3 linked regions of the Schizosaccharomyces pombe genome follow. Changing the gene in region 1 together with any one later gene gives a genetic interaction. Each region holds a gene or a part of one and is shown on either strand. Other genes may lie near its edges.

Evidence for each region.
Region 2: mutations in myp2 (region 1) and cdc8 impair growth when combined (synthetic growth defect), as found in Schizosaccharomyces pombe (2 studies listed by BioGRID, with this or other methods).
Region 3: mutations in myp2 (region 1) and chs2 are lethal when combined (synthetic lethality), as found in Schizosaccharomyces pombe (one study listed by BioGRID).

Annotation. Positions count from the first base shown.
Region 1 is NC_003424.3:2,551,856-2,555,613, forward strand, and holds the start of myp2 (Myo3-like myosin II heavy chain myp2), read right to left. Parts: upstream 1,849-3,758; 5' UTR 1,811-1,848; coding exon 1-1,810. Other genes in the region: SPOM_SPAC4A8.06C (esterase/lipase), read right to left, coding at 2,158-3,758. UniProt on the Schizosaccharomyces pombe protein: Stabilizes the F-actin cables forming the F-actin ring that surrounds the nucleus during interphase. May work in conjunction with myo2.
Region 2 is NC_003424.3:4,318,718-4,322,226, reverse strand, and holds cdc8 (tropomyosin), read left to right. Parts: upstream 1-1,991; 5' UTR 1,992-2,022; coding exon 2,023-2,040; exon of another isoform or gene 2,041-2,054; intron 2,055-2,099; coding exon 2,100-2,567; 3' UTR 2,568-2,980; downstream 2,981-3,509. Other genes in the region: protein Nuf2, read left to right, coding at 1-345; ubiquitin hydrolase Uch1, read left to right, coding at 752-1,420. UniProt on the Schizosaccharomyces pombe protein: Forms part of the F-actin contractile ring during cytokinesis.
Region 3 is NC_003423.3:1,093,405-1,097,162, reverse strand, and holds the start of chs2 (chitin synthase-like protein 2), read right to left. Parts: upstream 1,943-3,758; 5' UTR 1,806-1,942; coding exon 1-1,805. Other genes in the region: SIN3 family co-repressor, Clr6 and Rpd3L histone deacetylase complex subunit Pst3, read left to right, coding at 2,510-2,555, 2,647-3,758. UniProt on the Schizosaccharomyces pombe protein: Plays a role in septum formation. Has no chitin synthase activity.

The sequences.
Region 1 (3,758 bases):
TTAGTGCGGCAAGACATGCATTTAGAGGATCTTTGTTTTTCTCCAGCCAATCTTTGGTATCATATTCGACATCACCAGCATAATGTTTTAAAACAAAGCCTTCACTAGAAAACTTTTTAGGACGGTATATATCGGATTTACCCTTAAAAAGAAGGTGAAGTTTTTCTGTGAATGTAGCATCAGTAGCCATTGGCATAACACAATCCTCGTCGAGGCAAGAAAAAATACCAATGGGCTCAGATTTTTCGATAGCATCTATGGTGGGCTGCAAATCATTTCCGTAGTCAATAAAATCCCATTCGATGCGTTCTTGTGTATATTCTTCTTGTTCCAGAACGAACATGTAATGATTAAAGAATTGCTGAAGCTTTTCATTTGTAAAATTAATACAGAGTTGCTCAAAACTATTAAAAGTGAAAATTTCAAACCCAGCAATATCTAAAACCCCAATGAACCCATCATGTTCAGACTGAGAATAATACATAGTCTGATTCAGACGTTTCACTAAATGCGCAAAATTACGCTCATAAAGGCCTTTGGCTAAGGATTGTAGTGTATGGACTACTTGTTCACGTGTTCTTGCCGTCACAATCCATTCTCGTCCAGCTTTGGACTTTGGGTGTAAAGCTGCATTAACAAATCCATCAACAGGGATTTCGAGTAAATGGCATAATTGATCAATTTGCGTTAAGGAAGGAAATCTAGCTTGCCCCGAACGATCAGATGCTACTTCAATATTTCCTATATGAAGAATTGAAGCTATAATTAAGAACAAACTGTGAATTTCGTTATTATCAAACCCCAAAGTTCTGAGACCAAAGCATAATTTTTGAAATTCTTTGCCATCATCGACTCCATTAATATGCTTGAGACCATTTTTTAAATATGAGTAATGGTCAACATATCGATCAAGGAAAAGACTTTCAAGCAATGATCCATCAGCACCTCGAAGTAGTTGATAAAAGACGTGATAATTGCGTTCATTGGAGGAAGGATGTATAACGCGAGATTTTTCCAAAAGGTACCAGTCTAAATTCGCTCCAACGATGCTTCCATTATTAGAAAATTCAATTCGTATGAACTTGCCAAAGCGGGATGAGTTGTTATTCCGGACAGTCTGAGCATTCCCAAAAGCCTCCAACACAGGATTCGTTTCAAGGATTTTCTTCTCCAACTGTTGAGAATCGCTTGTGGAAGCATCAGTGACCGATGTTAGGTACTGAATAACCTTTTTAGTAGTTTCAGTTTTTCCAGCTCCTGATTCACCAGTAACTAAAATAGATTGATTGATCCTCCTTTCTAATAAACTTCGATATGCGGCATCAGCTGTTCCAAAAATATGGGGTTTAGTTTCTTTAAACTGTTTAGATTGGTATTTTCGCACAACATCATCGCCATAAATTGGTAAATGACAATAGGGGTTTACAGCAACGAGAAACAAGCCTGAATAGGTATATATTAAATCTTTCTCATAACGCTGAGTAAGGTTGTTAACTACTGATGGTTCGTTGAGACATGTCAACGCAGCCATGTCATCAACCATATCAAACTTCGGTGGATTTACTTTTTCAGCATCAAATCCATCCACAATTCTTTCCGAGCCATCTCTTTCTAATTTCACCCTATATTTTTCTCCTAAATCTTCAACTATCCAAGCTTTCACGAATGATTCCTTCGAATCAGGAATCCAGATCCATGTCCGTTCATCAAAAGACGCGTCTTTCACGGCATTGCAATGTTTTTCAGCATCTACTAGCTTTTTGATAATATTATTGTTGTCGTTAGAGCCATTTTTTGAAAGATACGACATTAAATTAAGAAGTATAACACATTGGCAATGCTGCAGCTGTATAAATCATGACTGCGCAGCAATGTAAATATTTATGAATGTTACTATGGCAACGAAATACAAATGGATTGTTTACAATACTATGTAAGAGAATACTTATAAATGGTTAAACAATAAATTATACCTGTTAAAATGTAGTAAGCCAGTCGTCTTTTGCCAGGATATTAGGCACGTATGTGGATATCCCTTAGTAATCTTCTGATAAAATAAATAAGTTGAAGTAAAGTGAATAACTAAAGAACTCAACTTCAACGAAAAAGGAAATCGAGAAGAGATAAAATAAAAGAATGAAAACAAGTCTCAGGCAATTATTGTTTTTTTTCGGGGCTAATTTTACAGTTAGCTACCAAGGCAGAAAGTGGAGGATTTTCCCCTTCCATCGTATACTCTTTGGGCTTGACTAAATACCCATTTAAATCGGCGTGTTTAAATTCAGCGAAGTACCGTGCTGGCTTTTTAGTGTCTTTACTGAGCAAGATTAATTCAACGTCAATCCAGCGAATGAGTGCTTTCACCTGTATAGTACCTAAAGCACTTTTCGGTAAATTTAAACATTGAATTTCATCTTTAGGCTCCATCAATCGTTCCTCACCATTTCGCGAAATTCTTAAACGAACCATATCTTCATTAGCATGAGACGGATTACCATCAAGGTGTTTATTAGGCGATACAAAAGACGAATCATGCTGCTTTAAACACCAATAAGCAAAATTAGCAGCACGTCGGACCATAATCCCAGCTTCTTTTACAAAAGGAAGAGCTGTAACGACATGACAACAATCATCGTACATTTCCAAACGAACCTTTGTACGCTTACCATTGTATACGTCTGTATTCATTTTGTGAGCGATGTACACTATTTCGTCTCGTAAGCGTTCGCCCGATCCACCCAGAACAAGTGACGGCGGTAAACCACCAAGGTTTTCAGTGAAGATAGGACTGATCAGAGGATGCTTTAAATTTGCATTAGAGGTATAAAACTGTACTTGAAAAGGAAATGTAGTCAAAATGTTAGGGTCTAAACGAGAGTCCACATTGTCAAAATCAATACGTGCATGTTCTTTATCCATCTCTTGCAACACGGGGATCAAATTTTTGATGGTCTGAATTTTTTTACGTATGCTGTTTTCAATAAAGTTAGTCAATTCTTGTTTCTTGGAATAATTTAGTAATTCCTTTTCGGATATCGTTGAGAAAGAATCTAAGTTAGTAATGGGCCAATATCTGCTGGCTCGGTGATGAAATCCTTCGCTTGGAATATAGTCAGCAGCATCATCTGCAACTACAGAAGGAAGACTATGAGTCAAATCAACCCAAGGGGAATCATAAACTACTCCAGCAGGTAAGGGTAATTTTGAATCTCTAATCAAAACTAGTGATGCAACGATTAAACCAGCACCTGAGCTATCGCCCATAAATATTATATTTTCTGGCTTGGTGCTTTTAAGTAGATACAAATAAGATGAAAGTACATCATGCAAAGAGCAAGGAAAGGGAAATTGCGGTGCTAACCGCAGATCTGGAGCAAAGGTTCTAGCACCCAGAGCTGCAGTATGACGCTGAATATGATAAGCATTAGTACGAACAGTACTTAAATAATGAGCACCTCCATGAACATAAAAAATAACTTTATCACATTTGAGATTGTGCCTTATATGATGTCGCCTTTCAATCCACCAGGATTTTAAAGGTGACTTTCGATAAAGCCACCAGTTTGAGCCCCCAAATTGTTTAATGCCTTCTGGTCCCAAATAGTTTCGAATGTAAGAAGCAGAATCTGATTCTGACTTTGAATCTATAGGTTGTGATGTAAATTTAAACTTAAACTCATCCGTTAAGCTCCTTGAGCAAAAATCTTGAACAACTTCTACTTTATAATCCCTGCTATCAATTAAAAATTTTTTTAAAA
Region 2 (3,509 bases), 1.8 Mb from region 1:
AAACTTGAGTTCAGAAAAGAACAACTTTTAAAGCAATTATCTAATGCTCAAGAAAAACTCGAGCATGAACAACATTCTCGAAATCAAAAACTTGAGGCTGCCAAACAACGAATGGACAACATACGGGAAGAATACAAAGTAATTACCCAAGAAAGGAATAAAAAGATTCAGGAGACTGAAAAGAAAAATGCCATGATAGAGATGACCGAACAAAAAATTGCTGGAATGCGAGAAGAACTGGAGTCTCAAATATCCTCTATAACTATGGAATTCGAAAAATTGAAATCGCACGTGGAGCTTTATATTGCTGAACTTCTCAGAAACTTAAGGTCTTCTAACTCTTAGTATCTTCATTTTGAAAAATCTTTATTCGTGCAAATATTTCAACACTACCTATAAGAACGTTGGTTGGACTTCGAAGCCAGAATTTTAGATTTTACAGTAAATGTATATAGGTAAATCTTGGTAATTATTAATATTTTATGACTCTATTTATAATATACCTATGGAACAATCCCTATTTTTACAGTCATCTTCATAGCTGAACGTGACAGGATATTGAAGTATAGGATACTGATTATAGTAAAGCTTTTTTGTAGATTCCCAAAATTGGCAATCTAAAGATATTCGATTAACTTTGTCAAACTTTGGTGTTTTGCCTCTTTGCTGACTTCTGAGACCTCTGCCACGCCTTCCAAACCTGATCAAAAAAGCCTCAATTAGAGCCATTTATCATTCGAGAAAAATTACAATGTGGAGGCCTTTAGAAAATACACCAGAGGTGCTGGAACCTTACTTACAAAAAATCGGTGTACAAGATGCTAGCGTTTTTGACCTGTTTTCATTAGAGGAAATCCCCGAATATATCCCTCGTCCTGTCCATGCTCTTTTATTCGTTTTTCCATCCTCAGGAACAAAAACTATATATAAAGGATCACGAATTTTACCAAAGGATAGTGACAAAGTCTTGTGGTACCCTCAAACAATTCCAAATGCTTGCGGAACGATTGGATTGCTACATGCGGTTTCGAATGGAGAACTTAGAAGAAAAGTCAATGAAAATGATTTTATTAAAAGTCTAATCAGAACTGCTGAAGGTTCATCTATCGAAGAAAGGGCTAAGCTTATCGAGGATTCGAAAGAACTTGAAGCTTTACATGCAGCATTTGCTGGTCCACCTTTGGAAGTAGAGGGGTCTGAGGAAGATGTAGAAACTGATCTTCATTTTATCTGTTTTGTAAAGGGAAAATCAAAGGACGACAATCATTTTTATGAGCTAGACGGCCGCCAAGAGGGGCCCGTGCAACATTCTGAAATTGAAAGTGATTTACTGAATGCCGAAGTACTTTCAGTTATTAAAAATTATATTCAGAGTATTGATTCTCCTTTCTTTTCTCTTGTCGCAATTACGACTCCGTAACCTATGTAAGCTAAATGTTGTGAAACTTAATGAAATGATTACTTTGGCAATTGGAAGTATGATAATAGCCATTTAAAATATTGCTTCTTAAATACCTGTTTCCAACTAATTCCTAGTCTGTATGTGTGTAAATATGAAATTAACAAGCGGACCTCTTTATAATTGTATAACTAAATGATTAAATATTATTGATATATGCCATTTTTCTTTAGCAGTAGAGAGCTCTTAAAATTTCAGTCATAAATACAAAAATCAGGCATTGTTTAAATCACTTCATTCCAAACTTGAAAATCTATTGCAGGAACACTTCGATTATAATTTACAAATGTTTGACTACTGTTTTTAACTTTGCTCTTTTAACGCTTATTTCTTTGATGAAATTAACAATCTGGTGTGTTGTAAGCAAAGCCTCAACTTCTTTGTTCTTTGATGAACAAAGCGCTTTACTGTAGAGCTTGTGTGTATTTCTTTGTAATAAATTAGTAAATAGAACTTTCTTGTACCGTCAATTAATTCACCACCCTTACCGTGGTATATGCATGTCAAACACACCCATCGGTATCTTCCCTCCACCATCAAGGAAAGAAGGAAACAGTAGGAAAATGGATAAGCTTAGAGAGGTATGAGATGATAGCTTTTCATTGGAAAATCAAGTTGCTAATATTTGCTTTTTATTTAGAAAATTAATGCCGCTCGTGCTGAGACTGATGAGGCTGTCGCTCGTGCTGAAGCAGCTGAAGCCAAGTTGAAAGAAGTTGAACTTCAACTTTCTCTTAAAGAGCAAGAATATGAGTCTCTTTCGAGGAAAAGCGAAGCCGCCGAGTCTCAACTCGAAGAGTTAGAAGAAGAAACTAAGCAGTTACGTCTCAAAGCCGACAATGAAGATATTCAAAAGACGGAAGCCGAGCAGTTGAGCCGTAAAGTTGAGCTTTTAGAGGAAGAACTAGAAACTAATGACAAGCTACTTCGCGAAACCACCGAAAAGATGCGTCAAACTGATGTTAAGGCTGAGCATTTTGAACGTCGCGTCCAATCTCTAGAGCGTGAGCGTGATGATATGGAACAGAAACTAGAAGAAATGACTGACAAGTATACTAAGGTCAAGGCTGAATTAGATGAAGTTCACCAAGCTCTTGAGGATTTGTAGATAGCGAAAAGCTTGACGAACATAGAAGAAACATACCACCTTTTTTATATCTTCTATTTGCTGTCATTCTTTTTCTTTCTTACTTTGTCAACTAGCTAAGTTCGACCTCACTTTTTATGGTTTATATTTAGCGAAAAATGATTTGATTTTGGTATGGAACACTGTTTTCTTTCTTTAGTCAACTTACTGGTGTTACCTTTTTACGAGAATCAGTATTTATGATATCAAATGTCTGAGTATTGTAAATTGAGAAGAAATGTGCCCTTATCTTCCCGATTCCCACCACTTTCCCTTCTAACTTAAATAACATTTTGTAAGCATAACTGTCTTAATGTTATCTGAATGATAAGCTTTTATTTTTTTTCGAATGCCAACTCTTTAATAAAGACTTCTATATGATAAATACCGTCTTTATCTTTCCTTTTTTTTACGATGTAAATATTGAAGTTTGCTAGGCTGAAATCGGTATTTTGTAAGTTGTTTATACACGTCTACCTTAAAGTAATTCGTGCAAACGAGTGGTCGTGCTTTTGTTAGGGGATCATTATAGTTAGGTTTGTCTTACTTTATTGTATGAATGACATTCATCTTCAGCGCGGGTTTTTTAAAATCAATCTATTTTGCAGAATCACAATACCTGTTAAACTCACATTTTCTATGAATTTACCTATTTGTTAAATTGCCTTTTATTTTATTTTATTATTTTTTTTTTGGAAATCCGATATCCGTACACGTTGAAGAGCATTGTTAGGCATCGTAAGCATAATCAAAGTTGAATCAACTAAAAACATAAGATGTTAACGTAAATAAAAAGAATATCTTAATGTATTGACATGTATTGCCATTTACATGTTCTACTTGATATAAATTTACATAAACCTTTATCGGAATAACGAGGTACAGGGTTTGCGTTAATGTGCTACTTTGGTTAATGTAGACTTA
Region 3 (3,758 bases), on another chromosome or scaffold:
GCAAAGACGAGCGATTGAACGGTGAGCAAAAGGAATCGAAAGAACTTGTGCCGGGTAGTCCATAAAGAAAAAAAATCAACTATAACATAGACAGCAAGACTAAAGCTACTGTTAATTTCAGATTTTTTAGACTCTAGTATTCCAGCCATTGAATTGGGCGCTTCAATAGTAGCACAAGCTTCAGGTACATATTGCAAATGCCATTTTGCATCTTTTCGGGTGATTACTTTCCAGAAAAGGAGTTGTTCTTGTGCCAAAAAAGCATTGGATTGTAAGATACCTCTCCTAGGAATTTCATATTGGTCTTGCTCGAAATAATCGGCTAGTGGTCCAGGGTTTGGATATGAATCTTGCAAAGCGACGTATCGAAATCCATAAATTGCGTTAAGCGCATTTGAAATATAACCCATGCAGCTGTCGTACGGTAAGCGAAGATTGTTATGGATCATTTGGTCAAAATGTTGAGAAGCAATGAATGGATTTAACAGTCTAAAGCCAAACTTTCCTGTATCAATCGAAGTTTTACCACACATTCCTCCAATAGTGGAATCAACATCAAAAGCTTTCCACGCATGATAAATAGATGTTGGGCCAAGCCTTGCACCGTTACGAACAAAGAGACAAACCTTGGGACGAGCAAGCGATGCTATACCATTTAAAAACCAGCGATGCGAGTTATAAGTGCCTAGACGACGGTCCTTAACACAGAGTAACATCTGCATTGGAACGTTTCCGTCACCAGTCGCTGTTGTAAGATTGAGTTTCTCATCAACGTTGATGGTACTTGTGAATTCATACATATGGGATAAAGTTCTTTTTCCGTTTACTCTCCCTTTAGCAATGTGAGGTTGATACACTCCTATAGATGCAAGCAAGTCCAAGACGTTTTGGTGAACAGTGTTACGGCCATCAATTACGACACATACTAAAACCTTTTCCCAACTCTCATTTCCCCATACCCGCGACTTAGACCGTGAGCAAAGATGTTTTAAATTATTCATGATACTAGAAAGAGAAATGGCAAAAGATGCCAAATCCTCATCGCTAAGTGTTAGACAAACAGCAATTTGAATGTCGCGACCCGTGGACCATGTTCGTAGTTGAAGCCCATTATTATTCATATCTTCTGGTTGGCAGGTAATGGCCGAATACCGCAGGAAACTTGCTTCATCGGGGTTTTTTTGCATAAATGGACCAAGCATGCCACGTAAGTCTATTGGCGTTGGGCAATCAATAGTCAGGCTTCCACATAATAATGGAACATCTTTGGAATAGTGCGAACTTGATGAATTCAAGCGATCAATCGAGGTGTATGACTGACTGTGCGTCATTGGTTCATTGACGGGCGAAGCAGAGATTTCTGAATTAAAGTCCAGATACTCATTCTTGGAGGAATTTTCATAACCGTCGTCTGAGTTACTATTCACAGTATGGGTTGGTTGAAGAGGAACGCTAAAAACTCCAGTTTTGTGAAGTGGAGGGATAGGTGGCTCGTGTTCATCAAATGAACGCTCCTCAAAATCGTAAACTGAATCTGTGTAAGAAAAAGCATCTTCTTCCAAGGTCCTTAACGTCTTCATATACTCGACTTTTTGATCGTCAGGAGATTTTATCTCATCATACTCATCGTAACAAGGAAAGCTTTTAGAAGAACTCGAACTGAGGGTCGAACTAGAATATGCTGTTTCTTCATCTACACTACTGTGACTGACCCAGTTTCGTAAATCCTGCGAATCTTGAGTGTCCTTAGGTTGCAAGAAGGACCGGTGTTTAGCATTAATATAGCTGGGATTCTGAAAACTCATGTTGATGCTTTCAAAAATTTCCACAAAGCAAGAAATGAATAAAAGTGTTTGGGTTGTTTGATATTATAAATTTTCCAGATAGCGATAATTCCTTGCTTTTAGAGGGCTTAAGACGATCAATACCAAAGCCTCAGAACAAGCAGAATGATGGACCACAGCTTGCTTTTATTCCATTCGAAATTGTTACTGATTTCATTGTTTACAAATTTAGAAACGATGTTTGTTTACGAAGCAGATGCCATAGTAACGAGGTAGCCATGCAACGCGTGCGTAGCCTATGAGAACGTACAGGAGATGCAGCGCCATAATTTGTACTGCGTACTCCGTAAAATGAGAATAATGAGCAAAAGGGTATAGTATTTTTTCAACGTTCAAAAGTAACGAACAGTCAAAGATGCTAGATGGGGCAAGGAAACGACTAAAAAATTGATGTCAGAATTTCTTGACACAATAAACATGAATTAAAATTCTTTACTCTAATCAAAGAATGAAATTAATGATTTTTAAATTCAACTCAACTGCTGATGTTTTGGAAATTAGTTAAGGTAGGCAGGTGTGTGTAGCACGCACGTTACGTGATGACATTTACTTGTGTCAAACACAACAAACCAATCTTACCTTTCCCGTAACGCGATTCAGACATTGCAAGACTGCAACTATCGAGATAAAGCAGTCATTTCTGTTGCATTTATGAGTTTTTAACCATGGATGTAATGAATGTGCCTGTCGACTCAGAACGCGACAATCCTGGTAAGTTTTTACATGCTTCTTCTGCGAAACATCATTTCGAGAAACAATCTTGGTTTATGAGGTTCGTTTTTAACAAATGCTAATATTATAGGCGACAAAGTTGAGACACAATCTGATAAAAACCATTTACCAAAAGCGTCACCGTCTCAATCCCAGTCACCTGTAAACACCTCTTTGCACAATGGTGATGGAAAAGATAATGGCGTAGCTACTGAACCTGTTGAAAACAAACAGATTTTATCGGAAAGAAGTGTAACTCGCGATGATTACGAAAAAGGAAAAACCATAGTTTCCTCGCTCGCCTTATCATCGATTTCTGGTAAAGATGGCTCCATTTCTTCACAAAATGCAGAAGGATTAAGTTCTTCTTCTAATCGTCCTTTGGATGTGAACGATGCGCTTTCCTATCTTGAGTTAGTAAAATATTATTTTTCTGAACGCCGAGAAATTTACAATCGATTTTTGGAAATTATGCGCGATTTCAAATCTCAGGCGCTTGACACCTTGGGAGTTATTAATCGTGTATCAGAGTTGTTTAACGGTTACCCTCAACTTATTGAAGGCTTTAACACGTTTCTTCCATCCGGTTACAAAATAGAAGTACAATTGGACTCTTCAAACACTAGTGTTGTACGTGTAGGTACTCCTATGCACCCACTTCCCCAGCAGGGCGTCCAAAGTACATTGCCCGTGGCTCCATCTAATGAAGATCAGCGAACAATGGAATCCACTAGTCCTACTGACTCTCAACCTCAGCCATCTGCTCCAAATTTAGTTTCCAGTACTGAAAACGAGAAGCCTCGGGTAGATTTTAACTATGCGATTGCTTATATGAACAAAGTTAAGGCTCGTTATCCACCAAATTCCGACACGTACATGGAATTTTTAGGTGTTTTGCGCACTTATCAGAAAGCACAAAAGTCGATTTTTGAAGTGCGTGCGAGGGTCGCTGAAATTTTTAAAGATTCACCAGATTTGTTGGAGGAGTTTAAACTTTTTCTTCCTGATAATGTTGATTCAACTGAGCCATCCACCCCTAATGTTCAGAAATCTCCAAACCGTCTTCCTCCGGTTGGGAATTTCAGTCTTCCCCCTTCTGCACCTGTACGTGAAAAAAGAAATCGACCGGCTCATTCTGCCCAAATCAGTAGATCGATATCTAAAACCTCGAGGATGTATCGACAAACTGCTGAAGAGCCATTG